Linked DNA regions of Drosophila melanogaster. The gene in region 1 interacts genetically with each later gene. Each region holds a gene or a part of one and is shown on either strand. Other genes may lie near its edges.

Evidence for each region.
Region 2: of Akh (region 1) and AdoR, changing one suppresses a phenotype caused by changing the other (phenotypic suppression), as found in Drosophila melanogaster (one study listed by BioGRID).
Region 3: of Akh (region 1) and AstA-R2, changing one enhances a phenotype caused by changing the other (phenotypic enhancement), as found in Drosophila melanogaster (one study listed by BioGRID).

The regions. Positions count from the first base shown.
Region 1 is NT_037436.4:4,139,519-4,143,808, forward strand, and holds Akh (adipokinetic hormone), read left to right. Parts: upstream 1-1,948; 5' UTR 1,949-2,067; coding exon 2,068-2,136; intron 2,137-2,204; coding exon 2,205-2,375; 3' UTR 2,376-2,552; downstream 2,553-4,290. Other genes in the region: Ras64B (Ras oncogene at 64B), read left to right, coding at 389-476, 533-942; CG32260 (uncharacterized protein), read left to right, coding at 3,668-4,238. UniProt on the Drosophila melanogaster protein: Probably causes a marked increase in hemolymph carbohydrate.
Region 2 is NT_033777.3:30,145,827-30,151,616, reverse strand, and holds the start of AdoR (adenosine receptor), read left to right. Parts: upstream 1-2,010; 5' UTR 2,011-2,456; intron 2,457-5,790.
Region 3 is NT_033777.3:28,741,003-28,747,065, reverse strand, and holds the start of AstA-R2 (allatostatin A receptor 2), read left to right. Parts: upstream 1-2,283; 5' UTR 2,284-3,040; coding exon 3,041-3,580; intron 3,581-6,063.

The DNA of each region.
Region 1 (4,290 bases):
CACCCCCGTGTGTATCTCCAATTGGGGATCAAGTGGTCAGAGCCCAGAACCAGGGAGTTGCGTTAGACGCAGCCCCCAGTTTTCTGGGTGTGCCGATCGATTCCCCGAGAGTTTGTGCCATGGTCACGACCACAATGACCGCCCGCTTCCATTTATTTTTAGTCATTTGCGTCATCTGCACATCTTTCGTGTATATGCTGTAGCTTTTCCCCAAGATATATAGAGCATAGTGGATAGTGAATGATAAAAGTGACGTGTGTAAACAAATCAAAGGCGGAATGATAAACGCACCCCGCCCACATAAAAAACCCAGTCTTATAATGTTTATATATGTAGTTTTGTGGCCTCGGCAGCTGGCGGTACAATAATTTTAATCCTAATCTTGCAGAGCTACTTCGTCACGGACTACGATCCCACCATTGAAGACTCGTACACGAAGCAGTGCAACATCGACGATGTGCCAGCCAAATTGGACAGTAAGCTTCCTTTCTTTACCCTTACCAGATTCATAATAACCTGATATTTTACCTAGTTTTGGACACGGCTGGCCAGGAGGAGTTCAGTGCCATGCGGGAGCAGTACATGCGCTCCGGCGAGGGATTCCTGCTCGTCTTCGCGCTCAACGATCATTCCAGCTTCGATGAGATCCCCAAGTTCCAGCGCCAGATACTGCGCGTCAAGGATCGCGACGAGTTCCCCATGCTGATGGTGGGTAACAAGTGCGACCTGAAGCACCAGCAGCAGGTGTCCCTGGAGGAGGCGCAGAACACCAGCCGCAACCTGATGATCCCCTACATCGAGTGCAGTGCCAAACTGAGGGTCAACGTCGATCAGGCCTTCCACGAGCTCGTGAGGATCGTGCGCAAGTTCCAGATCGCCGAGCGTCCCTTCATCGAGCAGGATTACAAGAAGAAGGGCAAGAGGAAGTGCTGCCTGATGTAGAAGGAACTAAATGGAAGAGAATCTCCTGAATGCCGCAGCGGAAGCAGGAGCCAACATATAATGATTATAACACCAAATTTTTTGAAAAACACGCGTCGACTGAGCTTTGAATTCCGTTGAGAAGACGATAAACCAGTAACCCGAAACCAGTAACCGCACAAAACGTGTCAACGAGCCCAAACGAAGTGCATTTCTTACCTGCCCAGGTGCATGGCGCATTCAACGAACGAATCGAATAAACTTCGCCACTCTCAAATAGCTACGAAGAATCTTACAACTGACAACTAACAATGCAAAATGCAAACAGAAACACGAAACATAGGTAGATATATACAACAGATTCACACGAATAACTTATATATACATATATATTTCTACATATATTTTTGTAATATTATTTTGTTGATCAACGACAACAATTAAGGACGAATGTTTTCATGATTATTACCAATCGTGGCTCGCAGGCCATTTGTTTTTATAATGCAATAACTAAGCCCAGAACGTTTGTTTCGATTAAGCCAAAACGTAATAATGTGTTATTGTAATTTGTATTGTTATTTACTACTAATATATACGTATACATATATTAACTGCTTACAAACCGATTTTGTTGTAACAAATTGAGTGCCTCGTTCTCGCGCGTAGAAATCTAAAACATCAAACTCTGTATTACACCCACGGCATTTTTGTACTATACCCGCAGCTGCCAGGCGCGCACAACTCACTTAACGATACTTTTGTACATGTCCCCAGTCGGATCCGGATCCTATGGTTTATTGTTCGCCAAATGTATTGCAACAGTTGCTTTAGCCGCAATCTTGTTTTAACTCTTATACACTGCTTAATTTAACGAACTTATTTAATGGTATATAAATAAATATATAATTAAATTTAAAATTAAACATATGCGCAATTCTAATAAACACATGGAGAATCACAAACGCTTCCACATAGAAGATTGTTTCAATGACGCTCTCGACTGGAATTGAAAATTCCGACCCAATCCAAGCAATTATAGAAAGAATCCTTGCTAGTGCTGTGTTAATTACTTACCAGCTGTCTTCCCTTCGAGCTCAATGGGTATAAAAGCGGGCTGAATCGAAGTGGACCAGCATAGAACTCAGAATGAATCCCAAGAGCGAAGTCCTCATTGCAGCCGTGCTCTTCATGCTGCTGGCCTGCGTCCAGTGTCAAGTGAGTGAATTCATATCCCGCTGCAGGATATCCCTTTCTGATGTCTCATTTTATTTTCCTCTATATAGTTGACCTTCTCGCCGGATTGGGGCAAGCGTTCGGTGGGCGGAGCTGGTCCTGGAACCTTTTTCGAGACACAGCAGGGCAACTGCAAGACCTCCAACGAAATGCTGCTCGAGATCTTCCGCTTCGTGCAATCTCAGGCACAGCTCTTTCTGGACTGCAAGCACCGCGAGTAGATAGCTGTAGGCCAACCAGATCCTGGTCCGGATCTCGGACGATGTCTAGCACGCACACACATACACTCTATATATATAATTACCCGTATATACAGCACGTTATCAAGGTAGTCGTAGTCGGCATTTAGATTTAATGGAACACTCCTTTCTCAACAATAAATAAGCGCATCCGAAATTAATTCTGCTAGCTGCAATCTGGGGAATATGTATGAGTAACCTCAGTGGGTGCTTCACCCATCCTTCAACTTTTCAAGTTCATCCCCCAAAAAAAAAAAAACGAACAAGCCGCTAGTACCTGTCGATTAAATTTAATTTGATTTCGAAAATTGCCACAATTAAATCATTTTCCATTGGCGCTTAAGTTCCGGTGTGTCAGTGGCCCACGGGTTCAGTTCGTCTTTGTAGTTCATAGGATCAGAATGTGTGCGATCTCCGGCCTCGCGAAAGCTCATAAATTTCTATTCATTTATATGGGTCTATCCATCTTGTCGTCCGTCAAGTGTAAGTGGTGTGAATTTCTATATTTAGTTCAACATTCGGTTTAAAAATACCCAACCGATCGTGCCAATAGATCTGCTTAAGATATATGAGATCGTGTCATTCCATTTAATGTGTCAACATAAACCCATCCCCCACAGAGCACATCATCTAACACCCAGCTAATGATTTCAGCAGATCTCCTCCACAAACGATTTCAATCGGATTTCAAGCGCCACTGGCCCAGTTATTTTAATTTCCCCCGAATTAACGATGCATCTCGGTGTGAATTCGTTGAATCTGCCATTAGGTGCTTGAATAATGCACTGAATTAAGTTTTTAGAATTGTGCATTTCCCAGTAGTCATTCAAAACATGTTACACAGTCAAGTGATGTCGTTATAATATGAGTAATGGGTCACTAAACATTTGAAAGTATTTTTATCAAAACTACAAAAAGGTTCTTTACTCATACACATCCGTCAAAACATTGTTAATGAAAATTATTTTTTATTTATTTATTTATTTTTAATATAACATATTAGAAACATTAAAACCATAAATTATGAAATATAATAATTTTAAAGACCCCATCTGACCCCTCGTTACCCTCAATCCGCTCCTGAGCTTGGTCATTTCAGTCGACTCTTTGGATAATTGTGCCCCACTAAAATACAATTGAATTATAATCATTTTGGGCCGCCATGCTCCACTTGGCCAAGCTGCAATTGGCCGAAAATTGAGAGTTCTGTGGACAGTTGCCACCTGGTGGCTAAGCAGAAAGCACGGATAAACGGATACGGCTACGGATTGGAAATGGTACTGCTGGACGAGTTCTGTGTGAAGGTGTACTTCTGGCCATTCCTTTCGTATCTGGCCAGTATCAAGGGCTGGTGCCCGCTGTACCCACCAGGTTACTATCCCATCTACGCCCTGCCGCCGCCGCAGGGACCTCCATACCCTGCGCCGCCCCCGCCGCCGCCGCCGTTTCAGCCGATTGGTCCACTAATACCGCCCCAACCCGCTCTTCCGTCCACACCTGCAGTGATCCCGACGTTCCAGCCAACGCCTCCGAATCCCCAGACGCCGGTGACGCCGCCCCTGATCACGACCAGCAGCAGTACCACTAGTAGCACCACATCGACGACGGGACTGACCACCACCACGACCGCCGGCACCACTCTGCCGCTTCCGATGCCAACGTGTCCATCGCAGCCGCTGGTTTGCCTGACCGGCGGAGCACGTCCACTGCCCAACTGCCCCTGCATCGATCCTCGCCAGCAGCAGAACTCCCCGTTGCTCTCGTCCACGGGACCACAAATCGGTTCGGATATGATGGTCTTCATGCCGCTTAATTCCGGACGTAGGCGACGTCGTCGCCGGAGACGTCGGATACTCTACTAAGATCACCTTCTAGCCACCAATTCAAAAAAAAATCA
Region 2 (5,790 bases), on another chromosome or scaffold:
GACAATTATTAAACGTTTAGCACCCATGCATTTTCCATACCCCCCCCCCCCACCATTTTTCCGACTGACTGTGGAATTCATTGAATGTGCCTGCAATTTTTGGTGGGGAGGGGTTCCCCATATCGCATTTCTGCGGCTCTACATAACCGAGACCGAATGGATACGAGTGGCCAACATATGGATCTGAGCCGTTTGCCCGCTCTGCTAAAAAGTTTGAGAACTGAGTTTGTTTTGCTGATCTGTTGTTTTTATTAATGAGCTGTTGATAGTGCTGGTTAAGTCCCATTTGATAGGCATTCAAAAAATTCTATAATTATAAATCCTATAAATTGTAAATATGACTTTTTGGTCCAAGCTCGATTTCCCTGTTTTTGGTTAAAAAATAATGCGTTTTTTGGACACAACTTTGAAAATAATGGTTCAAAAGTGGAGTGGCATATCTTATTTTACTCCTAATTAACTTCCCAATCGATTAGTGTTCAAATTTGGAAACTTTAAATTTTTGCGATTTTTTGCAAAATTTGATGATGTTACCCCTTATAAAAATTCGAAAATTGACAAAAAAATTTTTTTTTCTTAATTCGAAAAAACGGGACAGGGATCGTAAGCATTGGTAATTAGCTGCACAAAACAGTAATTATTTTTACTTTACGACCATTTTCAGTCAAGAAATATTGAAAAAACCACTTGGAAACATGGATTATTTTGATCAACTAGTTTTTCTCATTTTCCATCCAAAATAATCGTTTTATTTTTACAAGGAAATTATCCATGTTAAAGATTAAATAATCATTTAAAGCGTTAAGCATTAGCTGAGACACAAACCTTTCGAAGTTTTACCGTAAGCTTACCAACGGCTGTGGTGAAGCTCTCCCGCTGTCTCTGTCACTCGCACTTCCCTGTCTCTCGCACAATTTAAATATTTCTTAAAATTCAAAAGCAATTAAAGTGCGGTCATAAATTGTGCGAGCTGACTACGCTCCGAATCGATTGCATTCAAATCTCCTTGTAAAACCCAAAATGGGCGTGCAAATTGCCAGCACGTGGACCCATAGATATGGTTCTAAAACTTACAGATCCGGGCAAAAAGAGTGCTGCTCAGTTCATTACGTATACGCCGGATTGGCTGCAGCAAGCATCGCGATTTTGTTTGCACATCTAAAGCAGTGACTATTCGCTAGACAGAAGGCAAACATCTTCGCAGGCCAGTCACGTGCACGTAAATGTCAATAAAACGATATTCCCAGTCGATGGTGATGGTCCGATATGATATTGTAGTATGGGGGCATTAATAATACCCGATGCTCGAGCAATACGATCGCACTCCGCTTGACACAGTAGCAGCCCCAACATCGGGCAATTAATATGCGGCAAACAATTTTGATGAACTGCTAACAAGCCGATGGATCGATGGGGGTTTTATGGGGGCTTCTGGTTCTATACCGGGATGACAGCCCATAAAGCAGCACAATGGCACAAATTGATTTTGGCCAAACGATTATTTCGGGGGTTGCGTGCTCTTGGGCACATCCGCATCGAAAAGTAGTACCCCTCCGAAGCCAAGGATCAACCAGCTGGGCCATCAATATCAATGAGCGGATGCCGATTGATTGGCAGACCCGTCGATTCTTTATTGGTCCGTCTAAGAAAATACATATTGCCCATCGCGGTTTACGTCTCAATTATATTTGAGTGCCATTGAAAGTGTAAAGAACGTTCACAAACGGCGGCCAGAAATAGCGAGCGGAATCTCGGCGACAGCCACAAATCATAGCTATAAAGAAAAGAGCCAGCATATTTCGTTTACGATTATATCCGGACGGAGGCCAAGCCGTAGAACTGCAACTCTCCGCGCTTTTCCAAGCACTCAACAGGCGTCCGCAGCTCGCAGTCCGCAGCTCGGGGGCTCGTCCACTTTTCCCGAAGTCCCCCAGTTGGGTTACCCGATTCGGAAATCCCGAGCCCGAATCCCAACTGCTTGGGCTTGCTATCCGTGCGATTCATTCGCGCATTTTGCCGTCGAGCGTTGGCCAGCGCGGTGGATATTTCGCATATCCGCAGTGGAGAATCGCATATCGCAGCGGTATCAAGTTTTAAAATTCAGTTTCGAATGCCATAAAAAATAAATAATAAAATTAATAAACAAATCCGGTGCGTGTGTGCCTGTGTCTGTGCGGTTCCGTCTCAATGAAATGCCAAACTAAATAAGCTTGGAAAAGTTTTCCATCCAGTTTTTATGGCAACCCAGCGAGGCCCGAAAGAGTGTCAATTGAATTAGCGTCTCGGGCTATAAGAAAATAATACAGAGCCAAAGAGAGATTATCAAGACGCAACAGGTGATTGGATCGCGGATTTATGAATTCGCAAAGGTGTTTGTTTCTCTGATATATAAAACCACCTGTGGCTCCTCCTTCTAGTTTTAGGACCACTCTCTGGAAATCCAACTTCGATTCCAGGTAACTACACTAATTACCCCCAAAGTTTACTTTAATTTATATATAGTGCTAGTGCAAACAAACGAAAAAAGAACATATGTTAGAGAGCCGAAAAAGAAAATCGATAAAATTCGGACTCAGCATTATGTTTATGCTAACCGCAAAGGCAACTAAATATTTGCTTTTCGCAGCGGGGAAAGTCTTCACCTGTTGCACGTATCGCATGTCCTGTTGATTGGCTAATTGATAACATCCAGTTCCGGTCATCACCATCAGCCATATATCAATCCATCCGCACATCCATGCGGATCCCTCCATATATCCATTCGCATGTCCACCCACCCTTGACCCTGTCAGCGGGCAGCCCATTAAATCATCCCGAGCAAACAAATTAGCGGAACGAGTGCATCAATAAACAAAGTTCACCTGTTGCCCGCTTACTGCCGCGTAGCGAAAAGAAAAGACATCTGCAGTTTGCATTAGCGATACATCTTGTATCTTTTGGATGCCAGCCTCCTACTTATGGCGGATTTTTTGGAATTGCACTCGATGGGCAGGGAAATAAAGCAAACTATGGCGAAATGAACCGAGCAGGGCGAGTGAACATCAAAAGCGTTCGGTTCGGTTTGGATGGGATGGTATGGCACGGGCATAGGTGGAGAAGGTGGGGTGTATCTATCTATCTATCAGATGCACACGGCGCTTGTAACCGCAATTCGCATGCCACCGCCCACCGCCCACCGCCTACCGCCCGTCCTTCGACCTCCTCAAGTCGCCAGTGCTCTTGATTACGCCTTTGTGTATAAATTAATTAAATTAAAAGTTTCCGGTTAAGCCTCCGAACGCCGACAAACGCGGCGCTCGAACGCATTGCATTCGAAAGTGCAGAAATGTCCGATGCACTCGGTTCAGTCATTTCGACTTCGAGGAGCATTCGATGATTATCGCACCCTTTCGATTCTGCTGATAAAAGTGAAGAAATATTTATGCTTATATTTGAAGCATGAATGTGCAGCATTTGTGTCAACAAGTTGGCCGGGGTTTCCCCGTTTCAGCACTCACAATGCAATTGCAATGGCCTCTTATCACAAACTTAGGCCGATCCAATGAACTCAGTTTCCATGTTCATACTGCAAAGTTACAAAAGGCGCTGTTATAAGTGTGATAAAGAGATAAATATAGTAAATTATGCTGCTGAGGAAAGGCTATAGACCCATGTGGAAAATGGTGATAACATCGAAATAAATAGGTAAAACAATTGCAATGGATGATAAAGAGAAGCCATATACAAAGCAGGCTGTAAACTAGTCATAACAACACATTTCATGTGGAAATTATTTTTATAATTTCCTTTTAAAATATACATTAGTAATAATGATTTACTTCATGGCATTTCATTAGTTTAAAAAATAATTTGTCATAGTCATCGCAAATGATCTCCCAAAAGTACATCATTTATCTTTCTGTGTAACTGAGTGGCTATTGCAGGCACGTTTCCGAGGCCCAAGGCTCCCTGTAGCTACCTCATTTGGACGGCAATCCTTTTCCTGGGAAAGCCCTTCATCCCGCTGGGAAACGTGTGCAGCGAGTCGAGAAAGTCGAACCCAGAGATGGATTCATTAGGCTGCTCCTGGCACCGCCTGACACCCCATCTTCGAGCTGGTCCATTCCAATTGCTTCTATAAATATTCGGGCAGACACATCAACAACCTCCCAATCGCAAACCGAACGTCAGCACTTGCCAAAATCCAAGAGCGCGACGCGGGCGATTTCCAAACAAAGTCAACATCTCGGCCGAATCTGATTTCGTTTCGATTATACGAATTTAAAGTAAGTCACGCAGCGATTTTAGCAGTTCCCCTGGCCTGCAAATCGGGAAGCTAGGAGGTACATAAACATAAGTGGGTTGCGGTTGGGAATTAGCATCCAATTAGAAGATAATCGCGCGCTAACTGGCCGCGTAAACTTTTCGCGAAGAGATGGCCAAAAAAAAAAAAAGTGTCACAGATTTACGCTGCTTTGGCCACGCCCTAACCCTGTAATAGCGCCCACACCTCCCACACCTAATAGCGCCCACCAAAGTGCCCTTGAGTGCCTGCAGTTAATGTGCAGTCGACCTTCACGCCAACTAAAGACCAATTGTCAATATTTTGACAGCCATCGCCATCAAAAGGCAAAGCGGACTGCGAGTTCAGCGGGAATGGAAGTGGGTTCGATGATGAATATGTTGGCGACATATTGCAAATCCCAGTGGATGGTTTCGACCCACGTGTCCGGGGCGGTGGGCGGTGGGCGTGGCACACCTAATGTTGACATCACTTGGCCATTTAATGACTGCCTTTATGGGGGCTTTTACAACCTGATGATAAAGCGCCAGAGCGATGTGAACCCAACTGAACTGGAGAAAAGTGAGTCGCCCTTGAGTGGACTCCAATTGACGGCCAATTTGGCGCGGCTTTTTCAGCCCGTGCTCGCTGCGAGAGAGAAAAGTAATTCATTCACTACTTAACTAACAGATATGGTTTCTCTTTCATTCCGAGCAAAAATACGTTAAAAGGATTCATTTCCACTTTTATATGATCCTGCCAAAAATGCGTGTATGTTATGTTAAAACACTTTACTCTTCTCCTGAGTATTTTTTTCTCTGTGGAAAGACATACTTGTATGTTTATTGTGTTCTTTCAGTGTGAGCATTTATATTGGCTACCCAATCACCAGACCAGACCAGACCCTTCCATCCGGCAATCGCCATCGCATTGTCCTCGTTTTGTCCCCGGTCATAAGGTCTCGTACCGCCTCAATTACATTTATCCTGCCCTGAATTGATGACGGATACGAGCAATACGAGTTGTTGGTCGGGGAACAGCGATGCAGGATTACTCCCAGAGCGAACTAAACATATTGCAATTACATTACATTTGCATTGATCAGGGGGAGTCCTCTTTTCTTCCATAGTTGTGGATGCAGATGCAGTGCAGCTTACTCGGCGTGGATTAGTTCACTCAAACGGATGGCCCCGCGTGAGGCCATTACCAATGGGGCGGATCGGAGTGGATTGCCCCATCCACAGCCCAGCATTCGAAATGAGAAATTATTATATTTGAAATTTTACATAGTACCAAAATAGAACCCAGCATCGGGGCATGATTCAGGGCCAGCACGTGATGGGAGAAATGTGGGGTGAATGGAGGAGACGCGGCGGAGGACGAGGTGGCACCCAATGGACTGTGCAAACAGCGGAATACCAGTCGAAAGTCAGCGTGGAATGCACATTAATTGCGGCTCAGATTCGAGTTCAGTCGGCCGGTCATTCATGGCATTTGTCTGCCTGCATAATTAACAAGTCGAGGCGCTG
Region 3 (6,063 bases), on another chromosome or scaffold:
CAAAAAGCGATAATCCATCATTTTTGTCCCATGTTGACTTCGGCAAAGCGAACAGTGGTACCCGATCTGAGTTACCATCCATGGTTCCTATCACATGACAGATTTTACAATACACTTCTCTTCAACTGTTAGTATTAAATAAATTTATTAATGCACAGAAAATGCCATAGTTTAAATCCATTAAATCCAAATAGCATTTCTCCCACTGTTTTCCATTGACAACACCCCAAAGTTCGTGGCCCTGGCAGAGACTTGTAATCCCTATCGCATGATTATGCCAAAAATGAACCAATCCATCGCAGCGCACGAAAAAGGTTAAGCTCAATGTCCCTGCAAGATGGGTCCTTCAATTCGGTGAGTGGGTGTGTGTGCGCCATACGGATTATCATGCCGCTCAGGAGCACCCAAACAATTTTGACGCAATGAAATGATTTTGATGAAAAATTAAAAAGCATTTCAATCACGTCGAAAGTTTTCTGACATCACAAAAATTGTTGCTCCTCCCGTCGAAAAGGGAAAATGCGGAGTGAAAATTTCGAGTGTGTGCGGATGTGAAAGCGGATGTGGATGGATGTGATGTGGTCCCCAACTCTCGTGTCTGGTAGTCGTTTATTTAGATGCTAATTTAAGTGTGCGCCTGGAATAATGCTTTCCATTTTAGTTAAAACGCTGCGAAAGTTGTTCTTCAAGGTGATGGGTATTCGTGGAAATGGTTGGTGAACCTGATTTATGTAAACTTTACTTTGCAAAATTATTTATAAGTACATACACATATCCTTTACCGATCATTTTAAGCGCATTTCTTAAGCAATGTTACTTGTTAAAATATGCTGTTGTAAATGAATTTGTTAAAGGAACACACAGTCATGCCATGTGCTAGACTGTGAAATGTTATTTTTATTTCCGGTCTATTTTTTTATGGCAGCCGCAAAGTATGCAATGAAATTTGGAAAGTTGGCTGGCGGCATCGGTCTTCGACTTGAAAATTCTACCAATTCACCGCCACTGTCGGCCATTTAAATAGGCAATGAAGCTGCATTAAGAATTAAAGACTTCATTAAGTCCGCAGTGCTGCACATTAAATAAACATAATGCCGCCTTTTGCTGCTTGCCTCGGCCATTGTCGCCGGGCGATTTCTTGATTTATTTTTTTAGCCGTTGTTTGTTGTTCGTGGTGCTTAATTCGCATTTAATCTCATCAGGCTGGCGACGTCCTCGTCAGGGGTGCATTGAGCCATAGCCCCACACCTCACACCCCACCTCCCAACCCCACCTACACTCACATCAGCCAGAAATGCCAGGCGACGGGACAGCCCGCCGCAGGTTTGATGGGGGCCACAGCTGCCGCTGACGCAGCAGCCGACTTCGCTGCCGACGTCGACGTCTGCAGGTGACAGGTGAGCATTGCGTTGGCAGCGGCAGTAAAAAGCATGTAAATGAGGCGAGGACTTAACCTAGACCAAGACCGAGCTCGGATATCTGCCGGCTGCGGTTATATAATGTTGTGACAAGCCATCCCCGGCGACCAAAGGTGTTAAACCAGTGGATCCCATCTGACTGGCACGTATAAAAAGCAGAGAGCTTAAGTTCGCCTCTGGTCTGCATGCTTGAATATATGAAAAACATACTTTAATATATGTAAAGTATTTATCTTTAATAACCGTGTTGATATATATAACTAGTAAATAGAATTCATCATCGACTGAATGTAATAAGTAGAAGACATGACATCATATCATATCCATTTTTTTCGGTGTACAATGGGGGGCGTGGGCATGAACGCGTGCCAATTTTTTTGTTTTTTGTTTTTTTTTTTTCCACCTCTGCCAGCAGTTAATCAGAGAAATTAAGCAATGTACTAAGCGCGGCAGAGCAGAGACGACACCAACTGTGCAGCCGACGAGGCTGACGACATCAGCCAGGACATCCAGCTGTGCAGGACAATGGAAGACAGCGGGCGCAGACCCAGGACAAGTAGTGATTGCCCCGACAATTGCTGTGGCGCGTTGCCCATTCAACTGGGCGAGCAGTTCAGCAGTTTAGCGGTGGGAGCAACAAGAGCAAACATTCCAGCCCAGCTGATGGGGATTGGGATCGGATGAGGAGGATGAGGAGGAAGAGGTGGCTCCGGCGGCCACCCAAAACCATCACACGCACAGATGCCAGCTGCGCTGGTTGTTGCTATTGTTGCCATTATTCTTGCTGGGATGGCTGGCGTCGCTGCCGGCGTTTTGCCGCCGCCGAGGCATCGAAGTATTCCTCAACAAGCTCAGCCAGCAATCAGTTGGGCGCTGGATACGGACGCGAGCAGTGTGGACTATCGAATTGGCCAAAAGCAGCAGTATAAAATCGAAAATATATAGCGTACCGCGGCGCAGCAGTCGGTAGCAACAATAGGAACGTGGTTTTTTGGCCATAGCCTTATAGCCCCAAAATTTATGCCGTTCGTTTGTCAATAAAAAAGCAAACGAGAAATGTAAACAGAAACGCAGCGAAAGGAAGACATCATATTGAATTTATGGTGTAGGTGCAGCAACGTGGTCCTCGAACCTAAGGACACCCCGGTGTCCTTGTCGTCAGGGTGTGACTCGGCACAGTTTGGCTGTGTCGGTGTCGTTTGCACGTGCCCTCACCTTTAAACTCACTCTCTTGCCTTTCGCCTCACCGTGATCCTTGTGTGCTGTCCTTTATTGTTGTCTTACCTGTGCTACCCACCTACAATTACCGTTATCGTGGAAGGACCAAATTGCTTTTGCCCCCGCCACGTTGCGAACAATTCCGGTCGAGTTCGATACCACACGGCGTATGCGAAACGTTTTTGAGGTCTCCGAAGCTCAACGGTCGTAGTATTCCGCATGATAATTGAATTTTTGTGGCGGCTGCTTTGTGAAACTCTCCTAATTGGAAATTTGTTATTTGCGTTCGATGAACTGTGAGCGAAAAAGAGCCCAAAATTGAAAATGTCCCGTGACAATCAAGCGAAATCGCCAATAGCCAGTACAAAGTGAACCGGAAAGTTGTGCACTAAAGCTGAGAAAACATGGAGAACACCACAATGCTGGCTAATATTAGCCTAAATGCAACCAGAAATGAGGAGAATATCACCTCATTCTTCACCGACGAAGAGTGGCTGGCCATCAATGGCACTTTGCCGTGGATAGTGGGATTCTTCTTCGGCGTCATCGCCATCACGGGATTCTTCGGCAACCTGCTGGTCATCCTGGTGGTGGTCTTCAACAACAACATGCGCTCCACCACCAACCTGATGATTGTCAATCTGGCTGCCGCTGATCTGATGTTCGTAATCCTCTGCATTCCCTTCACGGCCACCGATTACATGGTGTACTACTGGCCATATGGAAGGTTCTGGTGCCGCAGTGTCCAGTACCTGATTGTGGTGACCGCCTTCGCCTCCATTTACACGCTGGTGCTGATGTCCATCGATCGGTTCCTGGCGGTGGTTCATCCCATTCGCTCGCGGATGATGAGGACGGAGAACATTACCCTGATTGCCATCGTGACTCTGTGGATCGTGGTGCTGGTCGTTTCGGTGCCAGTGGCCTTCACCCACGACGTGGTGGTAAGTGGGAGTGGAAGAGTGGGAGGAGTGGGTAGAATGCTATAAGTGGGCCTGCTGTGCCTGAATTTGCTGTGAAGAACACGGGCCAGGCAAATTTATTGCTTTCCATCATCGTCACCTCGTTAGATTCCTCTCGCTGCACGTCAATGGTGCCGACTGCCTGGTTCTAATGTAGCTATAGATACCTAGATAGATGGTCTGCCTTCTGCCAGATCGTAATCCAGAAAGCGAAGACCCCGCACAAACCAGCGATCGTCCAATCGACTGATCCTGATACAACTCATTTGTTTTTACTATATGCCCCTATTAAAGTATCCCCATTTTATCTTATTTTCTGTTTTGTGTTTATATTGAAAATTTCGCGATGCGCGGCGCCCGATTTGTTTTTGTTACTAATTTGCTATTTTGAATTCATAAATTTTTAATTATAGACCAGATAGCCAGCGAGAAACACTTGCCAACTGGGCGGTATCTGCCCATATCTGCCCACCTCCTCTCCGTGTGGCTTGCAAAATTTCAAATTCAACTGTTGATCCAAAAGCGCGTAAATCATGGGCAGTCGTAAGTCGTAACAAGCGGCCATTATGGAAACTTTGCACTTGCGAACTTTGGGCGCACACTGCGTATGATAAATGTCTTCGCGGGTGGCGACCTTGAAATGCTCATCTTGGACATTAGGCTTTTATGATCGATGCGAAAAGTGCGAGAAACAATTTAATTGCGGAATAATCGACGAAGATCGGAATTGTTTTGCTCGAGATCAGCGGGTGATATCAAAAATGAAAAGGGGAATTTACCGGCGATTTTGAGGATATACAATGTATTTGTATTTGCAGACTTTAACCTTAAGTTTTTATTCGCAAGAAAACACTGGGATTATTAACTAATATTCAATTTTCCGGTACAGTTCAAACAATTGTTGAGTGCTATTTAATACTGAATATCTATCATATTTTTTCATTGCGAGTATCAACTACACGTAATTATGGTCGGACATTGGTTCCAATTTCTGTTGATACTCATAAATGGCCCGCGGGCTTTTTCCACTGATTTCCCAGTGCCAATAAAGCGATTCCCACATCACACATGACCAACTTTTTGTTTGTGCCGTTGTGTTTCCCCTTTTCCTTGGCCAAAAGCGACAGTCGCGGTTAATTAAACGAATCTCATCTTCACACGGATGATGAACTTTTTTTATCTGTGAGATGGCAATGGCCCACTGTTGCTCCCGGTGTTGTTATTGTAACCTAATATTTTATTAAATGGCATTTCACGCTTCGTTATATTGTTATTTTTGTCTCGTTCGGTTTTTGTTCGCATTGGGGAGAGTGCTCCAATGGGTGGCATTATTGTTTGTTTATGTGTTTGCTTTGCTTTGTCTAAGGATTAAGCTGGAAAAATAGAGCCCACATTGAATGCTCATATGTGTGCTTTGCTTTGTTATCTGGTGTCTGCGTGTGCAAATACAAAGGAACAGGCGATAAAAAGGCATAATTAAGTCATGTTTGATCAACATGTTAATTAACAGTTTGCTATTAATTATTTCCATATTACATTGCCCAGCTACATGCTTGGTATATGCATATCAAATGAGCCTGTGAGAGCGTGTGCCATTATCTTTTTATTAGAAATCGATATCAAATAATAATCATAAATGCACATATGTCCGACTGCGTAACTAGATATGCGATCTCCAGGTCATGGCATTGATTGACAGCTGTTGGCTGATTTCTCGCGAACGAGGAAAGGGCATTAATGGCTTGTCAAGTCTATGAAGTCGTTGGGTTTTGCGGAGAACATGCCAGCGAAATGAACCCATAAATCAGCGGAGGGTCTGGCCATGATTTGTCTACTTCTGTGGCCTTGGCCACTTGACGCTGCGCAGATTCAGAGTTCGAACTCAATTTGTGGGCCAACATCGCTCGCTCAGTGTAACGAAAACAAGGGCGGGCCATAAACAAACATTTTTGTAAGCAATTCATGCCGGCATTAATGGGAAGATTTTTTAAATGCAATTTTCCACACGCATTCATCGATTGAAAGCGCGGTGAAGGGGCGGAGATTGTAAACAAAAATGTAAACAAAAGGCTGCGAATATTTTTACGATTCACCGGGCAGTTTACGACCCTCCTAAGCGTCAGCAAACCAGTCTCGTCTAGCCAACAGACCAATAGATTCTCCATCCCCCAAACAACAAGCCTCGAAAGCCCGATTGCCCATACCCATTGCGCTTTTATCCAAATCCAAAACTCCGGCTGAACAATTTGTCAGCCAAATGTCAGCGACAGAGAAACAAAGTGAGATTGCGAGTTAGTTGTCGACGTCCGAACTATTCGTATGACAGTTTAGTTTTATTTACGATGTCTGGCTGTTGGCCGTTTGACGTTGCTTGGCTGCCATGCAACTGTCACCGCCAACATGACGTATGCGCAATATTCGATTCCCACACCGCACACGTTTCTTCATAGTTCCCACAACCACAT